Ovis aries: one gene and its partner. The protein of the gene in region 1 purifies or fractionates together with the protein of each later gene. This does not show direct contact. Links are inferred from orthologs where the notes say so. Each region holds a gene or a part of one and is shown on either strand. Other genes may lie near its edges.

Region 1 (9,269 bases):
ATGCAACAAAGATTCAGTGTGCTACAACTAAGATCTGACACAGCCAAAAAAAAAAACCAGACAGTATGTGTGGAACTGGCATAAAGAGAGAGAAAGAAATCACTGAAACAGAACGGCAACCCGAAATAGAGCCATACACACACGGCCGACAAGGGTGCAAAAGCCATTCAGTGGAGAAAGAGTAGCCTTTCAACCAATGGTACTGGAACAACTGGATATTCACATGTAGAAATAAATTTCAATCCACACATCACACAAACATTAACTCAAAATCGCTCACAGGCTTAAATGTAATATCTAAAACTTCATAAAGAAAATACAGAAGAAATTTTTCTGGTTTGGTTAGGTAATGATTTCTCAGACACAACGCCAAAATCACATTCAGCAGTAATAATAATAATAACAACAATAAACCAGTAAGGATAATCTTATCCAGAAAACTTTTATCTCCAACAGCAGAAAACCTTCTCTGAGGCCTTACCTGGTAGAAGAGAATTACATTAAAATTGAGAATACAAATTCAAAGACACCATCAGGTAGTCTTACATTTTAACAAGGCAACTCTGTAGAGTAAATTAAAATCCAAAAGGAGTTCACAACCAACCAGTTTGAAACTGGCACTGGCATCAGACGTGACTGGACCGGAAACCTGACTCTACTCTGTGATCTGAGGGAAGTTTCTTAAACACCAAGAACCTCATCTTTAAAATGAGGATAATATCTACATCTCAGAGTGATTAAGAGGTTCAAATGAGACAACGTGATAGCTTCCTTATTCTAAATAAAATCAAGGTAAATCATCAACAGATACATCTTCTGTTTCTATTGCATTATAAGGAATGGTAGAACCTAGATGTAAAAGATTTAAGGAAGTGACTAAAACAGTGAAAACCAAGATACTATCTAAGGTGATCCACTTACTGGCCCATTATAAGGTCTGATCATACTCAAAATTAACCTAGATTTCAACTCACTGTATCCATGTTGCTTTCTCAAAATAACCTTACATTTCAGAGAATATCTATAGACTTTAACATAAGACAGATATGATACAAGTAATTCCAAGTGTGATGTATGTGAGGAAAAATGCAGGGGCCTAAATGAATGTGGGTGTTCTCTGGAAGGAATGATGCTAAAGCTGAAACTCCAGTACTTTCGCCACCTCATGCGAAGAGTTGACTCATTGGAAAAGACTCTGATGCTGGGAGGGATTGGGGGCAGGAGGAAAAGGGGATGACAGAGGATGAGATGGCTGGATGGCATCACTGACTCGATGGACGTGAGTCTGAGTGAACTCCGGGAGTTGGTGATGGACAGGGAGGCCTGGCGTGCTGCGATTCATGGGGTTGCAAAGAGTCAGACACAACTGAGTGACTGAACTGAACTGAAACGAATGTGGGAGTCAGGGAGAACCAGAGAAGGCTTCCCTGAGGAAGTTGAGTGTAAGCTGAGATCTGAATGGTGGACAAGAAGAAAGTTCTGCGGGAGAGGGAGAGGGTGGGATGATTTGGGAGAATGGCATTGAAACATGTATACGATCATGTAAGAAACAAATCGCCAGTCTATGTCCGATGCAGGATACAGGATGCTTGGGGCTGGTGCACGGGGATGACCCAGAGAGATGTTATGGGGAGGAAGGTGGGAGGGGGGTTCATGTTTGGGAATGCATGTACACCAGTGGTGGATTCATGTCAATGTATGGCAAAACCAATACAGTATTGTAAAGAAAAATAAAGTAAAAATAAAAATTTTTTAAAAATGCATATATAATAGAGGTAGTAGCAAAAAATCATTTTTAAAGTTCAAAATGTTTCTCCGCTCTTTCAGAAATAACATTTCAACAATATTCTTGCTTTTAATGGCTATAGTTAAAAGTAACCGGAGTTATATTTATAGTCTACTATAAAAATGATAGATCTTTTTTTAGACTAAAGGCTGGTTATTCTTAATTTGAGATTAGATTTAGTTTAATAGATTAGGTGCAAGTTAATGTGAATAGTTTTGCAGTAATGTAGAGCACTGTTCTTCCACTATGGAGAAGCTGTATGTAGATTTTATATACAAAAGAATTTAGGAAAACAGACCATGGAGACATTCATCTACATATAAAATGTGGACAGAATGAGATACAAAATAACAAAAGCTAGTATTTATTGAATGGGTTTCCCAGGTGGCTCTGTAGTAAAGAATCCACCTGCCAAGCAGGAGTCGTGGGTTCAATCCCTAGGTTGGGAAGGTGGCCTGGAGGAGGAAATGGCAACTCACTCTAGTATTCTTGCCCAGGAAATCCCATGGACAGAGGAGTCTGGCAAGCTACAGTCCATGGGGTCACAAAGAGTCAGACATAGCTTACCAACTAAACAAGCAACAAATATTTATTGAGTACTTACTATTCGTACTGTTAATACATATTTAATAATAATAACTAATGCATTCTATGTATCATCTTGAGTAACATGTAACAATCTTGTGATGTAAGTTCAATTATTATTCATCTCATTCCTCTGAACTATGCCTTAATTTTTTTTTGATTAATGTACCCAAAATCTGATTCCATAAAAGAGAATCACAACATCCTGAAAAGCCGTGTGGCTCTACATTCTTCTCTGAAAAGGCACTCATGCCTGAGAGGACAGAAACCAGGCCATCCCATGACCTCCGAGGTGTGCTCAGTCTCTCAGTCGTCTCCAACTCTGCGACCCTATGGACTGTGGCCCGCCAGGCTCCTCTGTCCATGGGGATTCTCCAGACAAGAACACTGGAGTGGGTTGCCATGCCCTCCTCCAGGGCATCTTCCCAACCCTGAAATCAAACCAGGTCTCCTGCACTGCAGGATTCTTTACCGACTGCGCTAACAGGGAAGCCCGAGGGCTGCTATGTGGATTAAATGTGATTCAGCACATGAAGCACTGGAGCCCCGTCTGGCACACCAAGTGCTTTATACTTGCGGTCTGCTGCCGCGGCTGCTGTCATTAGCGTGAGTGTTACTCATGCAATTATCACTCTGCGTCCTATCACCACGGCCTAAAATCTTGGGACGTTACCACACAGCAGTGTGGACTGCACAAAGAACGCTGGATTATGGATCAGTAGCTCAGGGTGCCACACGTGATCGGTGAACACAAGCAAGCAAATTCTTTGAACGTGTTTCATAAAACCTTATTTGTAAAATGAGGGGCAACATGTACATTCATCATGATAAGAATTTTACCAAAGGTGTTCATGACTGAGAAAGTATTTTTTAAACATAAAAAACTATAAATATGCAAGGTATTATTATTTCATGAATGAACCCAAGTATACAAGTGTCTAAAAGCAAAACAGAATTACTATTCACTTACAGACACATGTCCGACCCGGATTCTGCTTATAACTCACAGGCTTAGGAGCCTGTCCTACGGAAAAACATTAACTAGAGTTACCAGGGGAAGATCCCCTGGAGGAGAGTATGGCAATCCACTCCGGTATTCTTGCCTGGAGAATCCCATGGACCAAGGAGCCTGGTGGGCTATGGTCCATAGGGTTGCAAAGAGTTGGATACAACTGAAGCGACTTAGCATGCATGCACTATAATAAATATATATATTATATATATATAGTATAACATTCACAAGCATACACTTACCTTTACTATTGTTTTAGGGCGTTTTTTAAAAAATAGTTTTGGCTTTTCAACCACAGGCAGAGGTGGAAGTTTCTTAAGCTCCTGTAGCACAGTGGTTGCAGCGCGCTTCTTGGAGAGTTTTTTGCTATTTCCCTCTCCTTCAGCGGAGAACTCTCCCACTGACACACGGGTCACAAAGCTTTTCATGTGTGGTGGTCCACTTTCTTTAATAACCTATTAAATATAAGTAAAAGATTCAATACAGGGACTTAAGATGGGTTTTTATGGCATGAATCTTTCTTAATGATCATATAAAAATCAAAATTGAAATTATTAAGAATTATGCCAAAATTATGGATTTCTTCTATAAAACTATTATGAACTCATTATACAGAGACTCATACTTATGATGCTTAATGAATTACATTGGAAAAAACAGAAATCTAAATAAACATATTAAGTCATGGTCAAAACTGTGTTTTACTAGCTTAAAAAAGGCAATTCTAATTATGGTTACCCTGTTTCTTATGGGACAGAAAATAAGGATAATAAAAGATAATAAAACATACCATTACTGCATACATATCTAACTTTCTCCTCTGTGTGAATAAGTTACTGGAGTACAAGAAGTATGTCTCACTGGAGTTCTATAAATTATGAAGCATCTTCCATGTGGAAGCCTCTCACAAACAGGTGATAGATGAAAAATCATCTATTTTTGATGGAGACCTCAAAGGCTGTCTTACAATAAGGAATATTTACTCTCTGTGACATGGTCTTAAATAGGTAAGTAAATTTGCCATAAAAATACCTCGCTTTCTAGAGTAATGGATTATGAATCTGTCAGCTATGAATGCTCCTAAATCCTGTATTTAACAAGCTCTTTTTAAACTATGCCAATTTTGGGAAGCAAAATGCCTTCCAAGACCTGAGTGCTCAAAACTTCATTGTGTCTGTCAAAGCCTGACCTATTAAAAAAATACCCTATTTAAACAGTTTACCATTGACTATTATATTAAAATTTTATCTTCTAATACTGGATACCAATGAAGAAAAGATACAGTATCTCAATAATCCAGTATTATTGAGGATAAACTAATTTATGATAAGCTTACTTTCCAAGTAATTTAAGCTTACAGATTGAAACGCCAAAACTGTTTAACCACTTTGATAGACATCTTTCTCAAAAAATATACATATATATTTTACTGACTAAATATTCAGCCTCTTACTGCTCACATTAGATCACCATTATGAACATGAAATATTCTACACTAAGGACATCTAAGGCCTCTAAGGACATCTAACTTTTAAAACTGTTCCTGTTCGCCTAGCATTTAAAAGGCCCCATCTTCCAAAGACTTTCAAGTTAAATGCAGTTACTTTTGATAGGTTTTCCATATTTTCCCTATCATTTCTCGCTGGGACCAATAGGCCCTCAGGTACATTCTCTTCCTGCCTTCTTCATTCTGCTGCCTTTAATCTGCTATGGGCTGAGAAATCAGGTAACAACACAACTTGTAACAGAATTATGTTTAAGAAAGAAAACAGGCTCTCAGTTGAGGTGAGTAGATCCTGCCAGTGAGTAAAGCATGAGTTTTCCAATAGGTGAACAAAACATAATTTGAGGGAAAATATTCCTCAATTGTTTCAGCTTATTCCTGGGTTTTGCCTATTTCCTAAATACTTGAGTTGCAAAATTAGTGACCTCTTAATAAAGGAGGTGTTATAACAATTTAGTATTATTTCTTTTTTAAATGCCACATAATTTTACAAATATTTTATGACATATTTATCCAGTTTTAAACTAGAGAACTGCTTAATTATGTCTTAGTGACTTATCAGTAATGGTTAAATGTAAAGTTAAAAGGTAAAATTTCTATTTTGGCCTCCATAAATTTAAAAGAAATTAAATATTAATATATACATGTGACTAAATGTTAATTATATATTGAATATTTTCAATGTGACCTTATCAAAATGCCAAATCTTATAGGTGACTATAAATTATCTTAAATTTGGAAAATAAATTTTATGATGAAACAAATGGCTGAATACAGAAAAGCCAAAGAGATTGGGAGGACTCCATGATATTGCAAGCTCTGATTTCTTAGGGCCTGCATCATTCCATGATAGCTCAAACAGAGGGAGCACATTGATTCTTTCAGGATGCTAAAATTTTATTTGTCAGATTTGTTTTGTTTGTTTGTTTAAAACAATGAGGAGCAAGGAGGGAAAAAAAATGGGAGATCTCTGCTGAATACATACCTCAAAACTGACGGGCATATTTCTCTTCAGAGCAATTTCAAACACTAAGCTGATCTCAGACTTATTTGCATCTTTGTCATCATCCATTTCTTTTCCTGATTCGCAATTCTAAATCACAAAAAAAAAATAGGACAACACTGAATCTTCACTTTGTAACAAGCTTTACATGTACTAAACAATCAAGAGAACCTATCTTACACATCACAGGAAACCAGACTGGATCCTGTGGATTTCCATGGGACCACCGCAGTCAAGGGCTTTGCTGAGAGGCTTCTTGTGATTTGGTTTTAAGTTTTTTCCCTCAGAGTAGAAGGATAAATGCTGAGTGTGGAAACCTTTTACTCAAATAAACACTAATCTGATGTAGATATCCCCAGACTTAGTTTTCTTTACAGACCTCCATCTCTCTCTCTCTCTCTCTCACACACACACACACACACAGTATCTCCACCAGCATGTGATATTTAATCTTCTATGAAGACTAAGTTGCAGAAAGAGTATAGGGTGCAAACCAGAATGCTGGAGCTCTGCGTCTGGCTCTGACCTATTTAACACTTACTTCTGGAGCCTTATACATGCTGAACACCAGGTAAGCCTTAGAGAGATCAAGAGACAGTATTCTTGCTGTCAAGAAGCTTAGCACTTAGTGGAAAGACTGCGAAGCAAACGTTAAGAGTCATGATGAGAGTGCACAAGGACAAAAATACTAAGTCTGCCATTAACTAAGATAAATCTCAAAGCGGGAGGGACAACAGGCTTGAGGAAGGGCAAACTAAAGGCTGGACCTAGCTTCAAATAACGAAGTGGAGAACTCAATAAGAAGGGGACTTATTAGACACTCCTGAACTAAAGACACCATTTTGAAGTCAACAGAGAAAGCAGCTGAAACCATGGGAATGAGTGAAGTTACTGTATATCTGCTTCGAATAACCTCACTGGTAAAATAAAGTAGGACTAAAAAAATCCATAAATATCTCCTCCACTTTAAACTCCTTGATTCTAGGTGAATTAACACAATGTAACTCATGCTCAATAAAACACAGCACTCAATGCAAAGTAAACGAATGTTATTTCTCATCCTTGCTCACATTCCCAAATCCTGCCTTGCCTGGGAAGTGGACTCCCTAGGCTGAGCCAAAGTGCTCGAAGGCAAGGCCATCCCAACAAGACACAGAGTCTAACCGAGCACACAGGTGAGCTGAGGTGCCACCACAGCCAATCCAGTGTTCCCTTCTACCAGCAGAGACTTCCTCTATTCGTAAAGAAGCGCTTCTTTGTCTTCTCAGTAATCTCCCTGGGCAGCTATTAGAGATAGACTGCCACACACTGCAGGGACCCACCTGAGCTGATTTTTCTGGAATAGGTTCATTCTGCAGTGCTTGAAGGGCTTTCATCGCGGCATTGTGTCTAGCGGCTTGTCGAGTCTTCCCTTCCCCAAAAAATTCATTATTTCCTACAGTCAGCTGAACGTAAAAGATCTTGGGCACTGGGCAATGATACCTAAAGTAAGAAAATGAAAATGTTAATATAAGTTCAATAAAAATCACTGTAATCATTAGTAAAATTTGTTTTGTTTAAAATGTAAATAGGAAGGTATAATCCACTATGTGCATGTGTGCTAAGGCACTCCAGTCATGTCCGACTTTTGTGACCCCATGGACTGTAGCACGCCAGGCTCCTCTATCCATGGGGATTCTCCAGGCAAGAACACTGAAGTGAGTTTCCATGCTCTCCTCCAGGGGAGCTTCCCAGGGATCAGGCCCAAGTCTCTTATGTCCCCTGCACTGGCAGGTGGGTTTTTTACCACCAGTGCCACCTGGGAAGCCCAGATCCATTATAACCTCCTAGTAACCTCAGTAAAGTTTTACCTCACAAATGTATTTATAAAAGATAAAATGTGAGTCGGCATATATATCGATAATAAAGCATATATCTGGTCTCCATGAAAAATGTATTTTGGAAAACATTAAACACAACTTAATACTGTAAAAATTATTTCATTGTATCACAGAAGACCTCCTGGCAACACATTTTCAGTTATATTTTGACGGAAGTGAGCCAATGGTCTGGGGCTGAAAGATGGGGACCTGCCACAGAGGCAAGAAAACAGGCGAAACCATCCAGGTGACAATATGCAGACTGCCATGCTCTCAGCAGAAGGTAACCACGATTAGACATGGGAAGGGCAGACAGATGGAACCACTACTGTAAAGTAGTAAGTACTTTGCAAAGTACTAAGGAGAGCAGATTCAACATAAGAAAGAATGGGGAGTTTCAGCCAATTGTAAAGCAGAACGAACCATAATAAAATGTATTTAAAGTGAAAACTTTTAGCAGGTTTGTGTTTAATGGGACTGAGAGGAAGCATAATTAGAAAGCTGCAATGATGCCAACATGAGGGGAGATTGTAAGGGGGTTGTAAGAAGAGAGTACAAACAAAAGAAATTAAGAGGCTATGCAATATAATCTATTAATTTAACAATTATTTATGGGCACCTTCTTATGATGAGGGAATATTACAGCAAACAAAAACATACCTTACAGTGGAGAAGACAGACAATAAATAAAATAAATAGGTAGAATATCTAGGGATGTTAGAAATACACATTGTTTTTTAATATTTATTTAGTTGGCTGTGCCAGCTCTTAGTTGAGGCACACAGATCTAGTTCCCTGACCAGAGATGGAAGTTGGGCTCCCTGCATTGGGAGAATGGAGTCTTAGCCAGTGGATCATCACAGAAGTTCCATATACATTTTAAACAGAAAAAGAAGGGAAGGTTCAAAAGTGAATTTTTAAAAAATTGCATATATTAAGATTACAATAAAAACACAAGTGACACCATCTGAACAAAAGCAGTGATTTAATTCATTCACTGGTAATGGCAGTGAATGAAATAGTGAAAGTCTCTGGGGAGAATCAAGCAATTATCCAAGAGCTGTAGATCTGATTGCAATATGGTCTTCTGGTGTCGTTTGTACCTTTGGCGGCTTCCTCCTTTTTTGCCAACTACTCTTTTGAAGTCATTCATATTTGTTGCCTGGAGTCCCAATAAAAGTAAAATATGAAATTCTTGTTGTTTCTTCTTCCCTTGATTGGGCTGAGGGGTGAGGAAAAGAGGGGCAGATAGAGTGATCAGTGAGTGTCTCACTGAGAAGGTGACAATTTTGAAGAGCTCGAGCAAGTGAAGAAGGAAACCATACAGATATCCAGAACAGGGCTTATAAGGACTGAAAACACCAAGTGCAAAGGCTCTGAGGCAGCCGAGCATCAGGAATGTTGAAGCAATTCAGAGGATTCCCACCAGGTGAGAGTTGAGGGTGTAAAGGAAGGTAGGCTAAGAGCTGGAACTGGTGCTCAGATGTCATAGGGCGTTCCTTAGAAATCACTGCGAGGAT
Region 2 (9,269 bases), on another chromosome or scaffold:
TTCAAAGACTCTATCATTGATCCTCATAGAAATATTTGTTTTTAGACTCAAAGGTAAGGAAGAAGACACATAACCTGTCTCCAAATGTAAAAGGCTGAAAACGGCCTAGATAAATTCCCATCAGTCAGGAAATAGTTGAATGACTGCAGTATATCTGCATTTTGGCACACAATACCGTTGTTAAAACCAATGTGTCAGATCTATTCGTACAAATATGGGAAGGTTATGATACACTGTTGAGTAAAAAAAAAAAATTAAGGCACAGAATCACTTTTAGTAGCCTTATAAAATGTATTTATTATTTTTATGTAAAAAAGTCTCCATAAATATATGCATCTATATATTTTTTATAACTCAAAGAAAATGACCTAAAAGGATAAACTATCAACTCTGGTGAGAAGAGTAGGAATAAAAAGGAAGAGTAATAGTAATTTTCCCATTTTCATTCTATTTGCTTATGGATTGTTTTAATTTTATGAGTACCTGTTATTTTTATAATTAAAAAAATGAAAGAGGCAAAAAGTATCTGACAGAAAGAAAGGGGCCCTCACCTGTTCTGGGCTCATGTACCGTAAAGTTCCCTTTTTACTTGTCCGCATTTCATCATTTTTCAGGTATGTGACAAGTCCAAAGTCTCCAATCTTGATGTGGTTCGCAGCTACTAAAAATATGTTACTTGGCTGCCGAAAAAAATATGTTATAAGTACTAATTTGACAGACTTTTATCACATATCCAATTCATACTTCATAACAGCTATTATAAAATTTACTTGTAAGGCATTTACCCTCTCCTAGGTAGCCCAAAACAGGAAACTTATTAATATCAGTCTTTAAAATGCTAGCTGAGGAAGTCAGGACATTTTAGCCGACAGCAGAGAAAGCTTGGGGCATAGCTGCCTCCAGGTAGCTGAAGTCAAAGATGGATTCACTCCTGCCTGGTCCCTGTGGGGTAGATCCAGGACTAGAGGATGGAAACGACCTCAAGACTTGCTTTTAATATATCCTGATACGACGTGGGTTTGGGTGAACTCCAGGAGTTGATGATGGACAGGGAGGCCTGGCGTGCTGCAATTCATGGGGTCACAAAGAGTCTGACACGACTGAGCGACTGAACTGAAGATAGTAACCATGTGGTCCAACAGATGGGAGTTAGAGTTCCCCATCCTACAAGGTATTCAAGACAGGGCTGGACACCCACTTGGTGGAAACACTGCAAACACAAGTCCAGCATTTGAAAGGGATTGAAGGAGACACCCTCAAGATCCTCTGCAATTCTGAGATTCTGAGAATGAGGCCATTCCCAGTAATGCTGCAGAACACCATGTGCAGAATTTTCCCTGGAAGCTTCCTTTATATTCATTTCCCTAGGCTTCTGACTTCTGAACAAACACAGCCCCTCTGTCTTTGAAGGCTACCAAGTTAACTGGAAGCTGATGCCTAGCACTGAAATATATTTTTCCACATAATTCTTTAAGCACAATGAAAAAAAAAAAAAGGAAGAAAAGAATGACAATTCCACAACTTTGTAGAAGGTATTGACTAATATTCTAAAGACCATGAAACCAGGAAGGTTGTTGATGAGGACTCTGCGCTTCCACTGCAGGGGGCCCAGGTTTGATCCCTGGTCATGGAATGAAGATCCCACAAGGTGTGGCAAAAAAAGGGGTACAAACTTTATCCAGGAGGCACAAGAATAAGTTGACCGAGGAGCCTGGGGCAATTGAGAAATTGAACCTCCTCAGCCTATAAGCCCTCTCTCCAGAAACCTTTGTGTCTCTCACCAGCATCTTTGGTCTAGTTCTTAAGGTAAATGCTGGCTGACTTTATAGAACAGGGGCTTTATTGAGTAAAGACCATTATCTGGCAAAGCCACCAGCAGCAGGTATTCTGCAAAGCATCACAAAATAACACACACACTTTTGTTTACATTTTCTCTTAGATGTGAAAAAGCAGTAACTGTATCAGTGAAGTTAGCAAGTTAAAAAAGATGAAAGAAGCCTCTGTAGTATTAAAGTCTGACCTTTGAGCACCTGCAGACAAAGAGCAAACACTCTCTACAGACCCCAGAAAAGATGACTCCCTGACAAGAGGCACAAGCAGGGCAGATACAGGAGGGAACTGGTGGACCACGTGGTGGGAGGAGGGAGCGCTACGCACTTTCATTAACTCATCCTGATGAGGGCCTGGGAGGAAATACCCAAACCTCTGAGTAGAGGAGATGACTGTGTAAGTAGATCATTTATTTGCAAATGATTGTATAAAGAGATAATTGTGCTTAATTTCTTATTTAACTCTATATGATTCATTTCAAAGTGAAGGTACAGCCATTCTAAATGTATTCTTTTGAACGGAGTCCGTATATCCTTCCAACTTCAAAGAATACCTTCAGATACTGTTATTAGCAAAATGAGATATTGGAACCAGAGGCACCCCAATATGAAGGCATCAGACATCCAGCCCCTGAGAAGACCAAGGATGCAATACCTCTTAAGGGCCATCTTTTCCTACCAAGGCCAACAAACAACTATGCACATGGCTGCTTATTTTTCTCAAGGAACATTTTTCTTTGTGTCTCCTTCCTGGCTGTTTTAGACATGTGGGATAAGCCCAAGGTCCATATAGACAAGGTGCTTCTGTCTGATCCAGAAGGACCAGGAAAAGCTCATAAAGAAATTAAGACCAAAGGGGACAGGTAGAAGAGTGTCTCATGTGAGCACATGAGCAAAGTTTTGGTGATAGGATTCAGCATGGGAGGTTTTCGATGACTGTACCCAAATCACAGGGAACAGAGCAGAGTGCCGAGGGAAGACTGAAAAGCTCTTCTGTCTGATTTTGAGGAGGAAGTGGGAAAACTGCTCATCTAGACCGTGAAAGAAACTGGGAAGCCAGAAGAAAATGAAAATACAAAAGTATACTGCATGTTCCAAGGTTTGCATTGCTGCAGTTTTCCAATCATGGGGCAGAGAGGTCTCACCAAGTGCCAAGCAAATTCTAGACTCTGGACTTAGTGGCTGTGACTGCTGTCAAGAATAATGACTTAAAAGGTTAAGAGATTTGTGTATCCAAAGCCAGAGTCACCAGAGTCTCTTCTGCCTCTCAGACAAGCCTGGGAAGCAGGAGAGGCAGAGACAGAACACTCAACTGGATGTTCCAGGCATGAGAATTATGTGCACAGAAATGTCCAGCATACTAACGCTGTTAGTGTTTACAACCGGGGTGAAGGTATCAGCCAGGAAGACAAACAGGACCAGAAGTGAATGGGCAATGAGCTGCTTCTTGCAGAGCACAGCGTCTCAGTAAGTTTACAGCCCTGGCAACCTCCTGATTGATTCTACAGATTGGTACCTGGGGCAAGTGCTATATCCACTCTAACTTTACAGGATCAGAGATGTTATTTCCTCATGACTGTCGATCAATTCTAAAATTAAAGAAGACAGACTTTCACATTAATAAACTCTATTGATCAATTCCCAATACAGCACATTTTCCACTCACCTTAAGGTCTCTGTGAATTAACTGTTCTGAATGTATATAATGCACTCCTATTGTTATTTGTTGAAAGAATTCCAAAGCCAAACGTTTGTCTGGATCCTTGCCTCTTCTTTCGTCAATCCATTCCGCCAATGTACCTTTATCACAATATTCCATTTGGATGAAAAGGCACTTAGTCTTTGATCTGGGATAAAATTCACTGTAGAAGTAGCAATAAAAATAAATTTATTAAAAAATACACTTAAACATTAGATTTAAAAAATGACACCTTCTTAAAAATGCCAAACGTCTCAAAACAGAAATCTAAATATAACAAATGTGAGTCAATACATAATAAACCACTCTTTATTTAGGTCATAAGTTCCCAAATATCAAAGCATTGTTTAGCTAAGTTGTAAAGTAGCAGCCTTCCCATTCTTTAACGCTGAAGGTCCTTGACTATCTTTGCTAATAGATAGGAAGGGACACAAAAATATGACGGAATTGCAGAAAACCAAATTTCATTATTATATATTGTAATTTTGAAACATTTTAATTCACCATTGCTCTACTGAGCATCTATTTTGCAAAAGACACGGAACAGGCACCTACAGATAAGAAAATGAGTTAGACACTAGCCTTGCTCTCATGAGGATTATAGTTTGATGGGAGAGAGATAAAGGAAAAACAAGCAGAAAACAATAGTACAGCAGGCCCCAACCCCTGGGATCTAATGCCTGATGATCTGAAGTGGAGGTTATATAATAATAACAGAAATAACACAAAAAATGTAATATGCTTGAATCATCCCCAAACCATCCCCTCTCCCTGGCCCATGGAAAAATTGTCTTCCATGAAACCAGTCCCTGGCACCAAAAAGGTTAGGGGCTGCTGCAGTAGTGCATGGACAGGAGCTCTAAGAGAAATGCCAAAAGTTGTTATGAGGCATAGCAATGAGGCAGGGCTTCCCGGGTGGCGCTAGTGACAAAGCATCTGCCTGCCAGTGCAGGAGACTCAAGAGACGTGAGTTTGATGCCTGGGTTGGCAAAATCCTGTGGAGTAGGAAATGGCAACCCACTCCAGTTTGCTTGTCTGGAAAATCCCACGAACAGAGGAGCCTGGTGGGCTACAGTCCATGGGGTCACAAAGAGTTGGATATGACTGACCGAGTAAGCACACAGCACACAGCAAGGAGGACCGATTTCGCTAATCATGGTAGTTGTTCTTTTCTGAACTAAGTTGGCTTTAATATTAATTTAAATTCTTTGAGCATATGTTGGCTAGAAAATAAAAAAAGGTAGCCAGGAATTTTCTAAAAGCTGAAGAAATCCATATGCAGATGGTACTTCTGAAACTAATGATACAGTTCTAAATTACATGGTGTGGAGACAGGGCTGGAGCCAGGAGATGGTGAATGAACAGGCTCACCACGACCTCAGGTTTGCACTGAAAGAACTGTCTCCAAGGAACACTGGGTAACTTTCAAAGGGAGGCTCTTTATAACCCTTCAGTCCTTTTGCAGTGGCTTGCCAGAGACAAACATGAGTAATGCAAGGGCCGGGGGGTACCCCCACCACCGCTCAGGGTCTTGGAATTATTTAGACTGCCCATCACCTCACCATGAGTGGTGTGATCACACACAGAAGGGATCCCATGACTGCACCCTGCCAACCAGCTGAGCGGAGCAGAAGAGCGTTAGCAGTGGGGGGAGGGCGGCCTCCAGGTGCACCGTCTACACGTGCAAACCTTCTTCACAAGACTGCATTTACCACCTGGACTGGAGTCAGGGCACGTGAGAAAGTCTGTACTTTAAACTTCAGAGTCAAGAAACCTAAGCCTGAGATTTCAAAAACCACAGAAAGTGTTAGTCACTCAGTTGTGTGACTCTTTGCAACCCCCATGGACTGTAGTCCACGAGGTTCCTCTGTCAGTGAAATTCTCCAGGCAAGAATTTACTGGAGTGGGTTGCCATTTGCTTCTTTAGGGGATCTTCCCAACCCAGGGATCAAACGCAGGTCCCCCACACTGCAGGCAGATTCTCTGCCATCTGACTCACCAGGGAAGCCACAGAGGACAGTTTTTTAAAAAAAAAAAAACACATATTTTTTAAAGCAAATCTGCAGCAAAGAAAAGATTATTCATTGTCTCCTCATTTGCAGAATGGAGGCATGACAGTGTCTCAGAGTTTCTGGTTATGATTATTAAATGTAACAATTAGTGGCCTTATCCACTGACCCACACACAGTAAACAAGTTTCGCTCCTCCTATTAAGACTATGAGAGTTTATTTTTAGTTACCTTGAAGAATTTAAGCTTTCCTCAGGATCATAATCAACCCCGTCCCAGCAACTGTGGTAGTGAACAATATTTGGATGATTAAGTTTTGCCAAAACTTTCACTTCACGCTCTACCTTCCTAGTTAAAAGAAACAGGGAACATAAAGGCGTCAGTATCCATCCCTGATAATAACAAAACACCTTGAGCAATAGGAGGCAATCACCAATATACCCTTATTAAACAGCTACCACGGTTCCCACACTGAGGTTTAGAATGGAAGCCAGCACCTCTCAAAAGGAAAGAGGGAACACAGAAAAAAATCAGCTGTTTTCACTCTCAACATAAGAAAAAAAAAACAGTGATTAAAATTATTTCAAACCTCAGACAATCTAGAAGTCATAGGTAGTACTCTTGTGAGCTATCAGTGATGTAAAATTTTTTTGGATCTAAAATAAAAATCACCCATTATGTTTTATGTAGAGTTGTGTTAAAATCACTTTGGATTTCAAAAGCAAACCACATTTGGGCAGCAGGGGTAGGTAATCCAAGCAGCATGAAGAACCTAATTCAAAATTTTCAGTGCGTGGCAAAAATACACACAGAGGGTGATCTAGGCAGAGAAACTGAAATTTCACTGCACAATGTGGGAGCTTTGCAGGGATGCATACGTAAGAATTATGACAGTCCTATGCTAGTCAAAGCTATGGTTTTCCCAGTGGTCGTGTATGGATGTGAGAGTTGGACTGTGAAGAAGGCTGAGCGCCGAAGAATTGATGCTTTTGAACTGTGGTGTTGGAGAAGACTCTTGAGAGTCCATTGGACTGCAAGGAGATCCAACCAGTCCATTCTGAAGGAGATCAACCCTAGGATTTCTTTGGAAGGAATGATGCTAAAGCTGAAACTCCAATACTCTGACCACCTCATGCGAAGAGTTGACTCATTGGAAAAGACTTTGATGCTGGGAGGGATTGGGGGCAGGAGGAGAAGGGGACGACAGAGGATGAGATGGCTGGATGGCATCACGGACCCAATGGACGTGAGTCTGAGTGAACTCCGGGAGTTGGTGATGGACAGGGAGGCATGGCGTGCTGCGATTCATGGGGTCACAAAGAGTTGGACACGACTGAGCGACTGAACTGAACTGATGCTAAGTGGAGTACATAAATTTGAGATTTCAAGGATAAGAAAGGATAAGCAAACATTTTGCAACTTACTTTTTGAATCTGAAAAGTTCTATATGATGTAAAATTTGTAAAAATAGATAAAAAATTACTCATATATTAACACAATCCTAACACACTTGAGTTTAGGTGATTTCTTATAGTCTTTCTTCATATACATATTTACATATGTATAATTATAGTGTATATATTTATCTAATATTTTCTCATATATTATCTTTAAATTTTTCCCTATTACTATACAATCTGCCTAACCATCATGTATAAACATTTTAATGTAAAATTTCAAAAGTATTAAAAAGTAGAGCAAATAGTAGAATGAACCCCTAACTGGCCATCAGATGAAACAGTAATTAACTCCTGGCCAGTCTTATTTCCTGTATACTCTTACCTACTTCCTCATCTTTCCCTGGATTATTCCGAAGCAACTTCTAGCATTGTACCATTCACAGTGTGTATAAATATTTACAGTATACAACCCTCACTTTTAATGACCGCAAAACAGTCATTGATCAGAGGAGAGCACAAAACATACTAAATCATTCCTTTATTGCTGAACATTCTGTTTGCTCTAATTTCTCACTGTTATAAATGACATTGTTATTTTTATCTACTTGAATAACTTTTCTTGTAATCTGGGTAATATCCTTGGAATAGGTTCCCAATAGGAAATCCATAGGTCAAAGCATATAAATTTTTTTATGCTTCTCGATGCATATCTCCAAGTGTATTTTTAACTATGCTTTTGAACTATGGTGTTGGAGAAGACTCTTGAGAGTCCCTTGGACTGCAAGAAGACCCAACCAGTCCATTCTAAAGTAGATCAGCCCTGGGATTTCTTTGGAGGGAGTGATGCTAAAGCTGAAACTCCAGTACTTTGGCCACCTCACGCGAAGAGTTGACCCATTGGAAAAGACTCTGATGCTGGGAGGGAATGGGGGCAGGAGGAAAAGGGGATGACAGAGGATGAGATGGCTGGATGGCATCACTGACTCGATGGACGCGAGTTTGAGTGAACTCCAGGCGTTGGTGATGGACAGGGAGGCCTGGCGTGCTGCGATTCAGGGGGTTGCAAAGAGTCGGACACAACTGAGCGACTGAACTGAACTGAATCTATGAAGCCACAAGAAATGTTCAAGGTATTGCACCCTTATCATCATTAAGGATTACCGTTAAAAAAATGTTATGGGATAGAAGGAATAGCAGTATTCCTGGTAAGCAAAACAATGAAGAAGGAAAAAGCCTTGTTTTGATGCCAAGTAGTATGAAGTTATTTCAACCGCAAGGCTTTGTCCATGGGACAAACAATACGTTGGTTTGACTGGATGAAGAGCATCTAAGACGCCACACCTGCTTCTTCTTTTCTTATGTCATTTTCCTTCACTTATATCCGTTTTCCATCTCCTCTGATCCTTGAGGGATCTGTCTGGCCATATTACAAATAATAACAGCTGCCAGAAAATAACAGGCAGGATCAGCGAACATGGGGTTTCAGAGCTCCTTCCTCTGTGTCTTCCTTCCTAAAGTTCTGTTATCCAATAATTGGGGTGGGGTTGGGGAGGGGCACAAATAAGACATAAAATAAAGATGGGAAGCATTGGGTAATGGTGGGAACACAGTAGATTGGAATTCCAGAGGATAAGTTCTAAATCTCTACCTTATTACCATAGGAGATAGGCCCCAAGGATGGTCATCATTAATATCTTCTCTCCCCACGCTCGCATCCACTCCTCAGATTAAGCAGTAAGAGTCTATTTGCCCTCTCCCTCGAGCTGACCATAGTGATTTTGTTTAATCAATATGATGCGGAACTTCCAAGACTGCTCCCTTCTGGGATGAGTTGCTCTGGGACAGTCCTTCTTAGAACCCAACAACTAAGCTGTGAAATGCCCAGGCCACATAAAGGGGCCAGGTGGAGGCGCCCTGGTTAACAGCGCCAGCTGCACTTGTAGCCACAGCCAGCATCACTGCCAGCCATGTGAGAGCCATCTCCGCTGTCCAGCCAAGCCAAGCTTTCAGATGACCCCTGGCTGCAAATGCATGATGAATGACCCGGGTGAGCATCGTCAACTCACAGGACCACAAGAGATAATAACAATTTGGTGTTTAAGCCACTGCATTTTGGAGTGGTGTATTACGCAATAATAGACAACCAGCACAATTATCAACTAGCTTTTACCTTTGGCAAATCAGTTCACATCTTTGAATCTCACTCTCCTCCTCTGTAATATAAGGAGATGAGACTAGAAAAACTCAAAGGTCACCTTAAGCTAAAAGAGTTTATAACTGTAGTTCTCATCAACATAGCCTCAAGGATAATCAATGGTATATCCATTTTTTA

Evidence for each region.
Region 2: the proteins of STAU2 (region 1) and EIF2AK2 purify together in Homo sapiens (affinity purification with mass spectrometry; 3 studies listed by BioGRID and IntAct, with this or other methods). This does not show direct contact. The link is inferred for Ovis aries from reciprocal best matches to the Homo sapiens genes STAU2 and EIF2AK2.

Annotation. Positions count from the first base shown.
Region 1 is NC_056062.1:49,919,578-49,928,846, forward strand, and holds part of STAU2 (double-stranded RNA-binding protein Staufen homolog 2), read right to left. Parts: intron 7,373-9,269; coding exon 7,213-7,372; intron 5,981-7,212; coding exon 5,873-5,980; intron 3,839-5,872; coding exon 3,626-3,838; intron 1-3,625. UniProt on the Homo sapiens protein: RNA-binding protein required for the microtubule-dependent transport of neuronal RNA from the cell body to the dendrite.
Region 2 is NC_056056.1:86,933,148-86,942,416, reverse strand, and holds part of EIF2AK2 (interferon-induced, double-stranded RNA-activated protein kinase), read right to left. Parts: intron 5,886-9,269; coding exon 5,769-5,885; intron 3,692-5,768; coding exon 3,496-3,691; intron 681-3,495; coding exon 552-680; intron 1-551.